Mytilus edulis: one gene and its partner. The protein of the gene in region 1 purifies or fractionates together with the protein of each later gene. This does not show direct contact. Links are inferred from orthologs where the notes say so. Each region holds a gene or a part of one and is shown on either strand. Other genes may lie near its edges.

Region 1 (8,322 bases):
GGTTTTTTTTCTCAACTAAATTTTTTTTTCTCTACGCTGTAATACAAGAATCATTCTGTGTTAAATGTTTAGGTTTAAATTATTTTTCGCCGTAAGAAAAATGAATGATTAAGCAAATACAACGCATTTTCAAATACAATCAATATCTCCAAGGTAACTCTTTTATAAAAACGTACAGCACTGATTTTGAAACTTATTAAAGACCTTGCTTGAAAATCTTTGATACAAATTTGACGAAAATCTTCCATAAGAGAACTTTCAATATAATTGTCCATGTAAATAATATTTCAGACGGGAATACATCTTTTTAAAAATATTTGATCGGCACAGATTTTCGAAAATGTCCCACATATATCTGATATAAACTAAAAGTTTAGTTTTTTTTTAGATCTGGCAAGAATAATTATTGTACACGTGAGCGCGTTAATAAGATCAGTCACACGGACGGACGCGCGGTATTTCTACGTGTCCCCCGGAACGCATCCTGCGAGTTTTGAAAATATCGTATCTGTAAATCACTGTCAGATTATTGAATTAAAATCATTATGATAATTTTATTTAAGAATTGAATGCTTTTTTTTGTAACTTCATTGGGGTGTAAAAGCGTTGACCGAAGTACATTTTGTATGAACAAGGAAGCGCTTCATTCTAAAAATGTGCGCACGGTCAACGCTTTTACAACCCTATGAAGTTACAAAAAACGCATTCAATACTTATAATTACATTTTTTAGTTAGGATTATGAAAACACGAATTTTATCAATTTTTGATTTAATTTACCTGTGCACTTTATTGTGGGACCACGTGTTATCATGAATGATAAGTTTTATAGTGTAATGCAATTGCTCAAGGAATAACATGTGATGTGCACTTAGCCAATCATAATAACGTATTATAACGTATTATAATGAAACATACATCTAATGTAATTATATCTAAATATCACATTCACCTGGAAAAAAGATCGATCCCGATCGATCTACCAAAAAAAAGACCGATTCAAATAAAAATTCCTTTTTAAGGTAGCACAATACAAAGATTTTTTCACTCCCAATCAGACAACTTTAAACTGATGCAATTCATTTCATCTTTCTCTATATTTTATAAATGAGGTACCAAAAGAAAGAAGAAAGATTAATCTTTCAAATTGTGATAATTTCATTATGACATAATTATTACATAATTAATTATTATGTAATTAGTCGCTAAATTGTGATGTCCACGCTTGAAAGAATTTAGCGTCTTTGTTCTTCATAGTATAGCCGGGTAAAATGGCTATTCGACTAAATGTAAATCAAGAAGGAATATTCCGCTCCTAAAACTTTTATTTCAGCAGTCCGGCAAGACCGAACAACAAACTCCAAACTAAATGTAATGTCACATACAAACAATAACAATATATATGAGCACAAGCAATTAAAGGATTAAACAGAATAACAGATGACAAATTAGAAATAACAATAGATTAAAAGAGTAATTAATGTCCGACACGTATTTGTGAATTATAGTCTAAACTGTCACAGAGAATAAATAATGAAATAAATAGAGTAAATGCATTTAAGATCTTTGTCCAAGATTATGACACATCATCCGTGTAAAACACTTATGCCTGAATTTACGACAAAGTATAGATTAATAAAATAAATACAAAACCTAAATATACATTTAACAATTGAAATACTAAAATGTTGTTTAAAAACTAATTTCTTTGCACTGTCCAAATAGTCCGGTCATATATTCCCGCGGCCCCTGAAGACACGACCCGGGTCTTAATATCATATTCATCTGAAATTGTTCCGAAAGTTTCTTCTGTGATTGTGACGTCCTCTGTATCGATAGTTTTGATTTGAATGGTTATCTTGTCTTGTATTTTCCCGAATATTGTCCAGTTCGTCTTCTAGTGTTGTAATGCGATTCAACATACGTTCTTTGTCGCGCTGTAATTGATATTGCTGGTCGATGGCTTTACATCTTTGATCGTATATCCGAGAATGAACTGCTTTAAGATCCGTATTGCGTTCCTGTAATTTTTCTATTTCTTTTTTATCATCTGCACCTTGTTTTTGAAATTTTTCTAAATTGCGAATTACACTGTTATGCTCTTGTTTCAGCTCTTTGAATTTCTTTTCGTAATGAACACTTTTGATTTCAAATTTGACTCTCTCTGAATGCACTCGGTCGTACCTGAGTCTAACGTTGTCTATATATTCCTTGTTATAGTCTAAAGTTGGGAAGAAATCCAGGAGTTCTATTGTATTCAGTTCGGCACATGGAAAAATTGACATAGCTTTATTTTCTTTGAAAATTCTCATCCTTTCTGCGTCGCGGCGTAACTTTGATTTAGATTTAACTTTGACAACTTTCACGTCCGGTTGTCTGTTAAAACTACACATTCTGGCGTAATGTCCAAAACTTCTGCACTTATAGCAAAATGACGTTTTTGCTATACATTGTCTAAAATGAAATTGATTGTTTACAGTCTTTCCACAAAACTTACATAGGCAGTTGTCCATATGTTGAAAATTTCTTGTCTGACAGGTAGTTCCATGATCAGGCATCTGGTATCTCCAGTCTCGGCCGAAATTTCTGTTTCTCTGCGTATCCATTTTTCTGTTTGCTGGGGGATCAGCTTCACAGGTAGAACAAGGTATCCGAAAGATGCGTTGCCCGTACGTCCTAACACCAGATATAGCCGGGTAAAATAGCTATTCGACTAAATGTAAATCAAGAAGGAATATTCCGCTCCTAAAACTTTTATTTCAGCAGTCCGGCAAGACCGAACAACAAACTCCAAACTAAATGTAATGTCACATACAAACAATAACAATATATATAAGCACAAGCAATTAAAGGATTAAACAGATTAACAGATGGCAAATTAGAAATAACAATAGATTAAAAGAGTAATTAATGTCCGACACGTATTTGTGAATTATAGTCTAAACTGTCATAGAGAATAAATAATGAAATAAATAGAGTAAATGCATTTAAGATCTTTGTCCAAGATTATGACACATCATCCGTGTAAAACACTTATGCCTGAATTTACGACAAAGTATAGATTAATAAAATAAATACAAAACCTAAATATACATTTAACAATTGAAATACTAAAATGTTGTTTAAAAACTAATTTCTTTGCACTGTCCAAATAGTCCGGTCATAATAGCATCCAAAATATTTTATAGATTCTTGTACAACACAGCTTGACCTCCAAAACTGTGTCTCAGATTTCCAAAAACATCAATAGAACAAATTTTATACCCAATTGAATTTAGCGGTCTCTAATGAATTGATGTTGCAAGCTTCATTGAAGATTTATGAGAGAATGAAATACAAGAGGAAAAATCTCAGACACAGTTTTGGAGGTCAAACTGTGTTGTGCAAGAATCTATATTTTTTTTTAGCCCGATGCTATGAAGAACAAAGAAGCTAATTTCATTCAAGTTTGAACATCACAGAATGGCAACTAATTACATAACAATTAATTATGTAATAATTATGTCATAATGAAATTATCACAATTTGAAAGATTAATCCTTGTTCTTTCTTTTGGTACCTCATTTAGAAAATTTAAAGAAAGATGAGTGGAATTATATCAGTTTAAAGATGTCTGATTGTGGATGAAAAATCCTTGTATTGTGCTACCTTAAGTTCGATTGAGGATCGATCTTACCCGTTTACACTGGACCAAGGATCTTAGTAAAGATAGATCTTTTTGTCATTGTAAACGGGGTCTTATTTGTTTTTGATCGTTTTTCGACTTTGCAATGGAATTGTAAAAAACTGACGAAAGATACAAGGGACATTCAAACTCATAGATCAGAAATAAACAGACTTCGCCATGGCTATATAAAGAAAAAGACCAACAGAAAAACTATAGAACACAAGCACAACATAGAAATCTAAACTGAGGGACGGTTCTGTTTTCAACTTGTGAGGTTAAATATCCCTTTATTATCGCTATTTTGTGCATTTTTCTTTTGATCTTTTTTTGTGATAATTTTCATATCATGCTTCTCGCTTGAGATGGAAAAATTATCGCTAGAAACTAAGGAGGCCACGTGGCGTTGCTAACGAAATTGACATGAAATTGACAACGTACTCATAGGTAAAATAGCGATAAACAGATTATCATTGGTCATCTCAACTCGATTGCTTTTCTCACTTTCGCTGTACCAGCTCAAGCGAGAAAATCAATCTCGTTGAGATGACCAACGATAATCTATAAGTATTGTTCGCCTCTCGTAAACTTTTTTTTTCCAAAGACGATAATACTATATTCATAATCTATATTTATTTGAGAGTAGCGAAATTCTGGTGACTATTGGTATCGTTTTATGTATCATATTAATATGGAGTAATTTATATGTGGTTCTGTTTATTTAAAAAAAAAAGACAAATCTATAACGAAAACTGTAAAAGTATTATTAAGAGAGCGAAGGTGGGATTTTTTTTTAATTTCCATTTAGCATGTTTAGATGTCTAAAAGAAATACCCTACGAAATAGCTGTGTTCTCGGGCCAACAGATTTTTAAAAATCAAATCACATACAATTATTTGAAACCATATGTTATCCTCCCTTTCGTCGCATGAGTTCCTTTCCGCAGTGAGCGGAAACTTTGTAATTCCGTAATTCTGTTATCCGCGTCCGACTCAAAATTTCCTTTATATTTTGAGTTATCTCCCCGTAGTAGTTGGGGAAACGTATTTTTTCTTTTTTTAACCAGATACTGAGAGTAAAAGTGTTTGAGTTACAAGGCTAGATAACAATTTCATACTGCAGTAACAGAATGACTTCTTTCACGTTTCGACCACCGTCATTTCGTAAAAGGTATTTAAAACTATTGAGTTTAATAATAATAACAAATGGACAAAAATGGTTGTTTTTACACAACAAAATTTACTGAAAAATCATATATACAAACATAAATGTATGTTACGGTCAGGGTACTGCTTACAACTAAATGATTACCTTATGAAAGTTACAACAGTCAACACGAAATAATTGTTGTTACTTCTGTCCTGAACAAGGTATGTAAAATATTTACAAATCCTTGTTCTAAACTAGTTGCCAAAATTTGTATATCTCAAGGGCAGATCCAGCCATTTTTAAAAAGGAGTTAAAACCATTTGTCCCATTTTGAACCATTGATCATAAAAAAAAGTAGGATTCCAACTCCAGGTCCCCCAAGTGGCCGATCCAGGTGGTACAGTGGTTGTAACTCTGTTTTTTTAAACCCTACATGTAAATGCATTTGGATTTATATTTGTAGAACTATGGTTGAAATCCCCCCTTTATTCTTGGTTGGGGACCCTCCTTTAATTTCCTTCATTTTTAAAATAGCAGTGGCTATTTGACCGGCACCGGCTAAATAGCAAATTTGCTATTTGACCGGCACCGGCAAAATAGCAAATTTGCTATTTAGCCGGCACTGAATAAAACTGTTCATTGATGTGATTAATAGAGAATAAAAAAGATTAATAATAATTTAAAATCATTTTATCATAATATCAAGCATTAAAAATATAGTACAATAAAAAAAATTATTGAAGATGTTCATAAATAAATAATTTATAACTTTATAATATTAATTAAAAGCATGAAAACACATTTGTATGTAACATTACTAAATATATTTTTTACTTAAAAATATTTATAAAAAATCTGTACTACACATCACTACTCCACATTACCAGATTTTGCTGAACACTTTCTGATCGCCTTAAATTCTTTGCGAACAGAACGAGACCTCAAGACAAGTGGTATATTTCAAAAGAGGACTGTTTCAGCATTCTCCGGAATGATTCACCTGAATATAGATATCAAGAGTTGGTGACACCATATGCTTGGGCATATATCCTGAAACAGTTTTCACTCAGGTCTGAAGTAAAACTGGAGCAGAAAGAGAGATTATATGGACAGCTACAACAAGCCAAGGCCAAATGAGGGTCAATTCAAAAAGTTACTCTTGTATCTTTCATCAAAGTGTGCTTCTCCCGTGTAGGCATATACTCAAACTAAGAGAAGTTAATCACGAAAATTTGTTTGTTGAAGCAGTGTCAGATCGTTGGAAGATTAACACAGTCAGGACATCACATAGATTATTTGATGATACCAGTCAGAGGCAGATTTAGGGGGGGGGGGGGCAGGCCTCCCCCCCTTTTTGGGAAAAAAATGTGTTGCTTATATAGGGAATCATTGAAGCGTGACTGGAGCGGGCCCCCTCTTAGGTCAGTCAGTGGGCCCCACTTAATTATGAAAATTTCTGGATCCGCCACTGCCAGTCATCAGTGTGCTCTATCATACATGTATGTACACCAAAAAGAGTGAGAAAAATTTCTCAAAGCACAAAACACAGGGAGACACAAATTCTGTTACATGATGATGATATAAATGTAACAGACAATAAGGAAAATGATACTGATAATGTTCATTGATAATGTTCATATATTCGAAAAATCACGAAAACTAGTTTCGCAAGAAGAAGAACGAGATACTGCTCAACAAGAAGAACACCTATTGGATTCCAGTTGAACTTTGTGGATCGTGTGTTTCGCATATATTACTTCCACCAAATATGAAGAAACGTGGAAGGCCAAAAGGTTTGACCCAAACTGTCATCGGTCTTCAAAAAAAGAGTACCCGAAAAAGCAATTGTGTGCCATTTCATAAGAAAAGTTCCAAAGAAATCAGGGCATTTTATGAAAAAATGGTGGGTTGAACCTGGTTTTGTGGCATGCCAAACCTCCCGCTTTAATGACAGTGTTAATTACGTGGTTAATTATAACATTAATATGACAACATTACACGACAGGGTTACAATAAATAAACAGATAAATAGGAGAAAATATAGGACAGAGAAACAAACAAACAAAAGTCTTAAAAAGTGTGTCTTAATAGAATCAAATCGGTAATTGGCAAACAGGTTGTTGTAAACATTGATTTAATTATTGTCGAAAAGATGCATGAGAAGCTATTAAGAGCGTTTATAAAGAGAAGAAAAAGAACCCTACCTACATATGCAACATATGCACACATGATGCAGATTCAAAGGAAGCCAGTGTAATGTGAAGTTCCTGTTTGGAGTGGCAACATTTATCTTGTGCTAGATTAAAACAACTTCCAAAGGCAAAGAATTGGTTTTGTAACAATTGCAAATGTTAAATCATGTGTCCTTTTGAAATTCGTAGCAAACAACTTTTAATATTGTCTTTTTTAAGATGTACGGTGTAGTTTTACATAACACTATTTTTATAGCATGGCAGGATATTTAAACCATAGATTTTACACATCTTCAATATTATTATTTTTTATTGTACTGTATTTTTAATGCTTGATATTGTGATAAAATGATTTTAAATTATTATTAAGCTTTTTTATTTTCTACTTATTACATCAATGAAGTTTTATTCAGTGCCGGCTAAATAGCAAATTTGCTATTTTGCCGGTGCCGGTCAAATAGCAAATTTGCTATTTAGCCGGTGCCGGTCAAATAGCCACTGCCTTTTAAAATGGCTGCTCCCCCGTCTTTTGGATCAGCCACTGTTTCTGTATGAAGTACAGGGACAATTTAATATGGGTATTTTCTTTAGATTTAGACAAGTGCCTATTAAATGTACATCAGTTCTGCCAACATTCCATGAAGCAAATGTGTGAGATTTGGCCAAAATTGAAAAAATCAAAGAGAAAAAACAATAGATCAATGGAAAATGGCACCAAAAAAGCATGAACATGCGTGAGTCTAATGCATTTTGGCAGCCCTGGTACATTGTAAACTTTAGTTTTCAATAAGTCTACATACATGTATATATAATTAAATTATTAGAAAAAAGAAATATATTTGAAAAATAATAACCAAAAAAAAAACAATGTTTAGTATACATGGTATACCAACATTCAATTCTGTGTTTTAGTATGTTGTCAACACTCATACTAATGTAATCGCCTTTCCCTAGCTGGAATTCTGAAGAGCTGACCTTGCACACCTAATCAAGTTATAAATCCAATCTTTAATAATAATAAAAGACAGATATTTGAATATTTAACAGTTTATAGATTTTTTTCTATCCAAGTTTTAAATTTCAAGAAAATTTGGAAATAACAAAATATAATCAAAATATAATTTATAATTATCAATGTGTTTATTTTTTTTTTATTTTTTTTTTGTAATTGTTTTTCAGTGTCTTTCTTTAAACAATGTTTAAGCAGATTTATTCTTTTATACTTTATTTACATTTACAGCCAACCCAGTGCAGATGAATATAAATGTCAAAAATGTTTAGAGAAGGGCCATTTTACATTTGAATGTACTGGGAAAAG
Region 2 (8,523 bases), on another chromosome or scaffold:
TTCAGAATAAGAAAAATTTCAAAAGAAAAAAAACAAATAGCTTGATTGGTTATGTGTTTGCCTTAAATTTACTGAAGAGTAATTACAAAATTCTGTTTTCCCCAAGAATAATTTCAATTCCCTGTTTTTACCCTGATATCATTTCCTCGTTCTCTGTTTTTACCCAGTGATATTCCTAATTCCCTGTTTTCACCAATATATATCTCTAATTCCCTGTTTTTAATTCCCGTATTTTCTAGATATCTTTTTTTTACCAATTTTTTTTTATTACCTGTTTTTACCAAGAGATATTTCTTATTCCCTGTTTTTACCCAGATACATTTTAATTCCATGTTTATATCCAGAGACAAAGATAATAAGGTATTTTGGATGACTTGTTATATATGTCTGGCAGGTATTTTGAAATACCTGCTATTACAGGAATTATTCATATAGGTATTTTTTATTACTTGTTATATGCCAGGCAGTTATTTTAACTTTCTATTATCACAATGACACCTATATTTACATAAACTTCATTAGTGATACATGCATGACATTCACAGGGATTTCCAAGAACACTTTGTTTTATCTGTAACCTGGTAACATGTGACTTATTCACAATTCAAGTAAGGACTTACTTTCATACAACAAAGATACCTGTTTGAGCATACTATATTAATTATTGACCCTCTGGAGGTTTGATACTTGTACAAATAAATGTTGTATTAACAATCTAATCTTTTTCACATATAATCTGATGACTCCAGTTAATGCTTGATTATATAATTACCTCCCTTAATACCTATCAACATACCTCGTCTATTTCACACATATATACTGAAGACACCTGTGGATGTTTAACAACCTCCCTCAGTACGCCCCCATCACCTCCACCAATTATCAAAACCTGAAAAGAAAATTTAAAATGATATACATTAAATTGAGAACATGGAGAATGGATGAATGCATGACATGTTACATTTTAGAACTTGAGATAAATTTCAATTTAAATACCTTTCAACATTTTTGTAAGAAAATTAGTATGCATATTATTTGCATACCTGTTTTTCATGTACCAATTTTTGATGATAACTGTGAACCACAAATTCAGATCTTTTTTTTTAAATTAAAAAAAAAAAAATTTATGCAAAAATCACTTAAAAGGGTGACTCTGAAATCACTTGTACATGTATAATAAGTACCCTTGAATGATAAAGTTTTCATATAAAACTTTGATGAAGGTTAAAGATTTTAGATTTTTACATGACTTGGTAAAGAGAACCTTCATGACCTTACATTAATTTAAATAATCATGTGCAAAGTCCACCTTCCCAAACTGTTGAGTATTCATGGTATTACATGTATTACCTTCAGATAAGTGGATCTCCCTTTCCCAAACTGTTGACAAGTAAGGATTATCTTAGAGTAATTGGGCTTCCCTTTCCCAAACTATTCTCTGGTAACGACTACCTTAGGATAACTGAATCTCCCTTCCCAAACTGTTCTCTTGTAAAGATTACCTTAGGGTAATAAGATCTCCCCTCTCCAACAAGTTGACTAGTAAAGATAACCTTAGAGTAATAGGATCTCCCCTTTCTACACTGTTCACTAGTAATGATCACTTTGAAGTAATAAGGTTTCTCCCTCCCAAACTGTTAACTGGTTAAAATTACCTTATGATAATTATCCCCTTTCTTAAACTGTTCACTGGAAAGGATAACTTAGGGTAATTAGATCTCCCCTTCCTAAACTGTTCACTGGTAAGGATAACCTACTAGTAATTTGATCTCCCCTTTGTACACTGTTCACTAGTAAAGATTACTTTAAAGTCATTGGATTTCTCCCTCCCAAACTGTTAACTGGTTAAGATTACCTTATGATAATTAGATATCCCCTTTCTAAAACTGTTCACTGGTAACGATAACCTTAGAGTAATTAGATCTCCCCTTCCTAAACTGTTCACTGGTAAAGATTACCTGAGGGTAATTGGATCTCCCCTTCCTAAACTGTTCACTGGTAAGGATAACCTAAGGGTAATTGGATCTCCCCTTTCTAAACTGTTCACTGGTAAAGATTACCTGAGGGTAATTGGATCTCCCCTTTCTAAACTGTTCACTGGTAAGGATAACCTAAGGGTTATTGGATCAGTATAACGTATCACCCTCTTTAAACTGTTCACTGGCAAGGGTAACATAGATTAATCATGGTAATAGGATCTCCCCTCCCTAAACTGTTTACTGGTAAGGATTACATAAGGGTAATTTGATCTCCCCTTTCTAAACTGTTCACTGGTAAGGATTACATTAGGGTAATTGAATCTCCCCTTTCTAAACTGTTCACTGGTAAGAATTACCTTAGGATAATTTGATCACCCTTTCTAAACTGTTCACTGATAAGGATTACCTTAGGGTAATTGGATCTCCCCTTTCTAAACTGTTCACTGGTACGGATAACCTTAGGGTAATTAGATCTCCCCTTTCTAAACTGTTCACTGGTAAGGATAACCTTAGGGTAATTAGATCTCCCCTTTCTAAACTGTTCACTGATAAGGATTACCTTAGGGTAATTGGGTCTCCCTTTCTAAACTGTTCACTGGTAAGGATAACCTTAGGGTAATTAGATCTCCCCTTTCTAAACTGTTCACTGGTAAGGATAACCTTAGGGTAATTAGATCTCCCCTTTCTAAACTGTTTACTGGTAAGGATTACATTAGGGTAATTGTATCTCCCCTTTCTAAACTGTTCACTGGTAAGAATTACCTTAGGGTAATTGGATCTCCCTTTTCTAAACTGTTCACTGATAAGGATTACCTTAGGGTAATTGGATCTCCCCTTCCTAAATTGTTCACTGATAAGGACTACCTTAGGGTATTGGATCTCCCCTTCCTAAACTGTTCACTGGTAAGGATTACCTTAGGGTAATTGGATCTCCCCTTCCCAAACTGTTCACTGGTAAGGATTACCTTAGGGGTAATTAGATCTCCCCTTCTCAAACTGTTCACTGGTAAGAATTACCTTAGGTTGATTAGATCTCCCCTTCTCAAACTGTTCACTGATAGAGATAACATTAGGGTAATTAGATCTCCCCTTCCTAAACTGTTCACTGGTAAGGATTAACATAGAATAATAGGATCTCCCCTTCCTAAACTGTTCACTGGTAAGGATTACCTTAGGTTGATTGGATCTCCCCTTCTCAAACTGTTCACTGATAGAGATAACATTAGGGTAATTAGATCTCACCTTCCTAAACTGTTCACTGATAAGGACTACCTTGGAGTAATTGGATTTCCCCTTTCTAAACTGTTCACTGATAAGGATTAACATAGAGTAATAGGATCTCCCCTTCCTAAACTGTTCACTGATAAGGACTACCTTGGAGTAGATGGATCTCCCCTTCCTAAACTGTTCACTGGTAAGGATTAACATAGAATGATAGGATCTCCCCTTCCTAAACTGTTCACTCATAAGGACTACCTTGGAGTAATTGGATCTCCCCTTCCTAAACTGTTCACTGGTAAGGATTAACATAGAGTAATAGGATCTCCTCTTCCTAAAAGGTTCTTTGGTAAGGATTACCTAAGGGTTATTAGATCTCCCCTTTCCAAACAGTTCACTTGAAAGGATTAACTTAATGTAATTGGATATCCCCTCCCTAAACTGTTCACTGGTAAGAATTACCTTAAGATAGTTTGATCTCCCCTTCCCAAACTGTTCACTGGTAAAGATTACCTTCAAGTTATTGGATCTCCCCTTCCTTTTAAACTGTTCACTGGTAAGGATTACATGTACCTTAGGGTAATTGGATCTCCCCTTTAAAACTGTTCTATTTGCAAACCTTTTGAGGGTTAGGATGAGAATTCAGTGGTAAATGTGCCAACATTTCTTGATATGAAAATTCATCTCTTTCTGTGCACTGTATTACACCATCTAACACCAAAACATTACCATAAGTTTTACTGAAATAGACAACACTGACATATAATATTTACTGAGTGAAAGAGGGAACCCTTTGACATGTAATATTAACTGAAATAGGGATCACTGACAAATAGTATTTACTGAACATGCTGAAATAGCACTGACATATAAGTTTAACTTTATTAGCACTGATATTTATATATCATTATATAAGTTTTCTTAAATAGCACTGCCATATAATTTAAACTTAAATAGCACTGACATATATATAATTTAAACTTAAATAGCACTGACATATAATTTAAACTTAAATAGTACTGACATATAAGTTTAACTTAAATAGCACTGAATATATAATTTAAACTTAAATGGCACTGACATACATGACATATATATAATTTAAACTTAAATAGCACTGACATATATATAATTTAAACTTAAGTAGCACTGACATATAATTTAAACTTAAATAGTACTGACATATAATTTAAACATTTAAACTTAAATTAATAGCACTGACATATATATAATTTAAACTTAAATAGCACTGACATATAAGCTTAAATCAAATAGCACTGACAATTAAGTTTTAACTTGCAAATGTAAATACCACTGACATATAAGTTTAACTTAAATAAGATTCAAGATTCAAAGTTTTATTTAGAGTCGATATTCAATAAACTACATAACACAAGCTCTAGTGAGCTTTAAAATAGCACTGACATATAATTAAAATTTAAATAGCACTGACATATGTATAAGTTGTTTTGATCTGTTTATCATGTTTATTTGAATAGGTACATGTCCCATGATAGGGTTTCAGGTTAAGGTTAATTATAATTTCACAATTCTGCTTTTATGAAAAATATATATTTTGCTTAAAACCAATAAAACTTGTAAAATAAGAATATTTGAACACCTTTTTTGTTCACATTTTTTCTTCTCAAAATTAGCAAAAAAATATTAGGCTAATGATAAGCTGAATGATTATGCCCTTTAACTTTATTATATATCTAAATATATACACGATTGTTATACATGTTATACTTGTTGTACTAAAAATTGGAAAACATTCATCAAAACCTAGATGTTCTTATTAAAAACTTTGAAAAAGCAAATAATTCTTTACAGCTAAATTCTAAGTAACATTGTATCTTCTTTTATCTTTTAATTTTAGCATTGACTGAAAATGCATCATATAAGATAAAATAACAGTTTGGACACGTGTGTTGTTTATACAGTGAGAGATATAAAATTTTACCTTTTAAATACAATTAAATCCTGATATTTAGATTTTTCATGAAACAACAATTCTTCCACTTGGAGTGACATGCACTGTCCTGGCCATAGTTCACTTAATTCACTAAACCACCCGTCTTTAATTAAATCCATTGGTAATCAGCTGATGAACCGAAAAACGGAAACTGTTAACTTCGGGTGTTCTCTTGGATTTACCAGGTAGACGTAAAAATCAGAGGATTCCAGAAAATGGCCTCCTCAGACGAACCCTTGCCAAAATTCCATGAAAGGGTTGGATCGCTTGTCCAACTGAGTAATGAGAACAGGACAGCACAGAGAAACCATCCCGCCCAAGAGTTCAATAATGGTGTCGCTATTAGCAGAGACCCATTAAAGGAAGACCAATTATTTGAAGTCAAAATAGACAAAAAGGTTGTCCATGTCTCAGCATGTCTTATATTTTTTCTTACTTTGTCAGCGTTTCCCCAGTCCCTTAAACCAATATCAGCCTTAAAATGGTGCGATATGTCTGTGCTAACATTTTAACCAAAACCGTCTGTGCATACCCATAAACATTTGAGTGAAGGGTTGACATGTATGTATGTACTTCGAGATTCCGATAATTTAAACGCACCCCTTGATTGACTGCAAGGGTACAGTGGATCCATGTTCACTCCCTAAGGTTTAATGGAGATGTGTCCTTTACAATATTATCCCACCACCAGAACAATCTCCACCCAACACTGCCCAAGGGAGCGTGTAGGACACAGAGAAGTCTGTTATTATGGTGGAGGAAGCCGAAGTACTTGGAGAGAACCACCGGGCCACTCGGTGGAAACAGACAAACCAGAGAGATATCAGAAGATTGATCTCCAGGTCAAAGTAGGGGACAACTTTGACCAACCTAGGCCCCCAAAGTACTCATTCTAGTTTAAACTCCGGTCTGGGTACCGGAGATGTGTGTGAGAGGGTGAAAATTACCCTTCTGATGTACTGATATTTTTAGCACCCCGAGTGAGAATCGAACTCGGGACCTTTAGCACTGTAGCCATCGGTCTTAACCACTAGACCACGAACTCACATAATGTACATGGTCCAAATCTATACTATTATAAAACAAGAAGACCTCATTTTGTGTGTCGCTTCTCTTCCTTCCACGATAAATTAATCATCATGCCTCTGTGTTCTATATGTAACATGCATAGTCGCATTTGTCATTCATTCTTATGATTATTCAGATTGTGTTATTTTTGGAGAAAAACGAAAAAAAAGGAGTCCGAATATTGATTACGTCATCAGACTGACTTTTAGTCATAGATCAACTTCCGGTTTGAAACACGCACAAGTACAACCAATCGTATGATAGATAACAAAAATGAAAAAATAAATAAGCCAATCAGAGCGTTCTCCATATCATGGTGTTTAGGTCGCCAGAACCACTACTATTATACCTCCTTAGAGAGGACAATTATTTTTTGCGTTTATCTACATGTAAACTACGATTATAATACTTTAATATATAGAGACTCTCTGTATTCTGTCTGCAGTTTTCTTTGAAATATATTACTATTTTTAAAAGGAGTCATACCAGTTGAATATATATTAAAATAAGTAAAACATGTGGAAACAAGAATGTGTCCATAGTACACGGATGCCACATCGGCACTATATTTACTAAGTTTCGAGTTGATTGGACTTCAACTTCATCAAAAACTTCCTCGACCAAAAACTTTAACCTGACGCGGGATCATGAGACGGAAGGATGAACGAACAAACGCACAGACTAGAAAACATAATGCCCATAAATGGGTCATAAAAATTTATTGTTGGAAGTGAAAGTAATGATTTGGCAAAAATGAAAGTAGGGTAGAGATTAGAGGGAGGCAGGACCTTTTTTGGGACGTCGGGGTCGTGTGTTTTAAGCCCGGGATTTGGGGATCGTTTCTTACGGGATCCGGGAATATATTTTTCGATTTCGGGATATGAATTTCTTTAAATTCTGCATCTCAGGATTTCATGTTTTTAAGCCCTGGATTTCGGGATCAGGACCCCTCCGACCACCCTCAAATTGGCCTTAGTCGGTCTTAGTTATTTATACAAGATTCATATCCTACCATTGGCATGTTAACAAGGCTCTCAAAAGAAAAAGCACTTATGGATTGTCCTAGAAGCATATTTTATTAGACTAATAATGGTCTTTATATAAGCAGTTACATTTATTTCATGTTTGAAGTGGTGCAAATTTTTAATTTAATTTGACTATTACCAAAAGATGCATTGTAGCAAAGGAGAAGAATAATTGTGGTCTGAGGCACGAAACACGAAAATAATTGAATTTAACAGAAAGGAAACAAATAATCGGACTTTGGAAAAAGGGAGAGGGCTTTTGATACCTTTTATGAAATTCTCCATACATACATGTAATGTCTCTTACAAAAAATCACCCTACAGCAGTTCACAAGCTGTATATGCACGCGATTTCGTGGGTGTGTTCTAGTATTTATGATGTCTGGCAAGGCAATTTTACTTTTTTCTGTGTTGCCTCCCTGCGTCCCAGAAAAAAATTTAAAATAGCCTTGCCAGACATCGTAATTATTTGGACTACCATATACAGAACATGATCTTCCAGTATCAGTCTTTCACTGAAAAAGATTGTCAATTGAAGACGTCATTTACCAGATAGAAGGCGCGCCTGTATCCCTGCTCTACTAATTAAGAGTGTCCAATACTTTCAGAATCGTCATTCCATACGGTAGCACATGTACCTCAATATTTTATGTTCCGTAAGTATGGAAATTATCTTGATTCCCATACGTCTGGGTGACCATTCTTATTAGATTTAAATTTTCCAAATATTTTGTGCAGTCTAAAATCAAACTTTTTCCTCTGTTTGTTCAACTCGGGCTGGAGGTAACGATGCCTAGGTTTTCATGTTTATGGTCACATGGTGATGGAAGTCATATATGACAGATTCAACTAAAAAAGGTATCTGGAACTGCAAACATGTACATTTGTATATGGTCATAGGCCACTTCAAGTTTGATGTATCATACCTGCTAATCCTCACGTTTTGAGCGGGAGACTCCCCCTTAAATGCCAAAATTCGGGAAATCTCCCGCTTGCCGGTACCCTCCTGTACAGGAGTACAGAATCTACCGTTTTGAATATTTTAACCTTGAATGACAAGTTAACATTAATTACGTTTGAGGGTTGTTTTTACCTGTAAATCACAGACAATGTGTAATTAAATGGCTTCACTTGGCAACTTGGGTGTCAAACATAGTACTAATTAAGGATCATTAACGACTTTTCAATGCTTCAAGCTTTCAAAACACTTCAAAGAAATTTCGGGTTACTTCCCCAGTTTAAACCTGTTTTTTAAGTT

The links.
Region 2: the proteins of zinc finger CCHC domain-containing protein 10-like (region 1) and neuralized-like protein 4 purify together in Homo sapiens (co-immunoprecipitation; 3 studies listed by BioGRID and IntAct, with this or other methods). This does not show direct contact. The link is inferred for Mytilus edulis from reciprocal best matches to the Homo sapiens genes ZCCHC10 and NEURL4.

What each region holds. Positions count from the first base shown.
Region 1 is NC_092351.1:39,843,181-39,851,502, reverse strand, and holds the start of zinc finger CCHC domain-containing protein 10-like, read left to right. Parts: upstream 1-4,665; 5' UTR 4,666-4,792; coding exon 4,793-4,833; intron 4,834-8,244; coding exon 8,245-8,322.
Region 2 is NC_092356.1:70,054,556-70,063,078, forward strand, and holds the start of neuralized-like protein 4, read left to right. Parts: upstream 1-5,351; 5' UTR 5,352-5,387; coding exon 5,388-5,570; intron 5,571-8,523. Other genes in the region: spermidine synthase-like, read right to left, coding at 797-889, 3,817-3,937, 5,161-5,291. UniProt on the Homo sapiens protein: Promotes CCP110 ubiquitination and proteasome-dependent degradation. By counteracting accumulation of CP110, maintains normal centriolar homeostasis and preventing formation of ectopic microtubular organizing centers.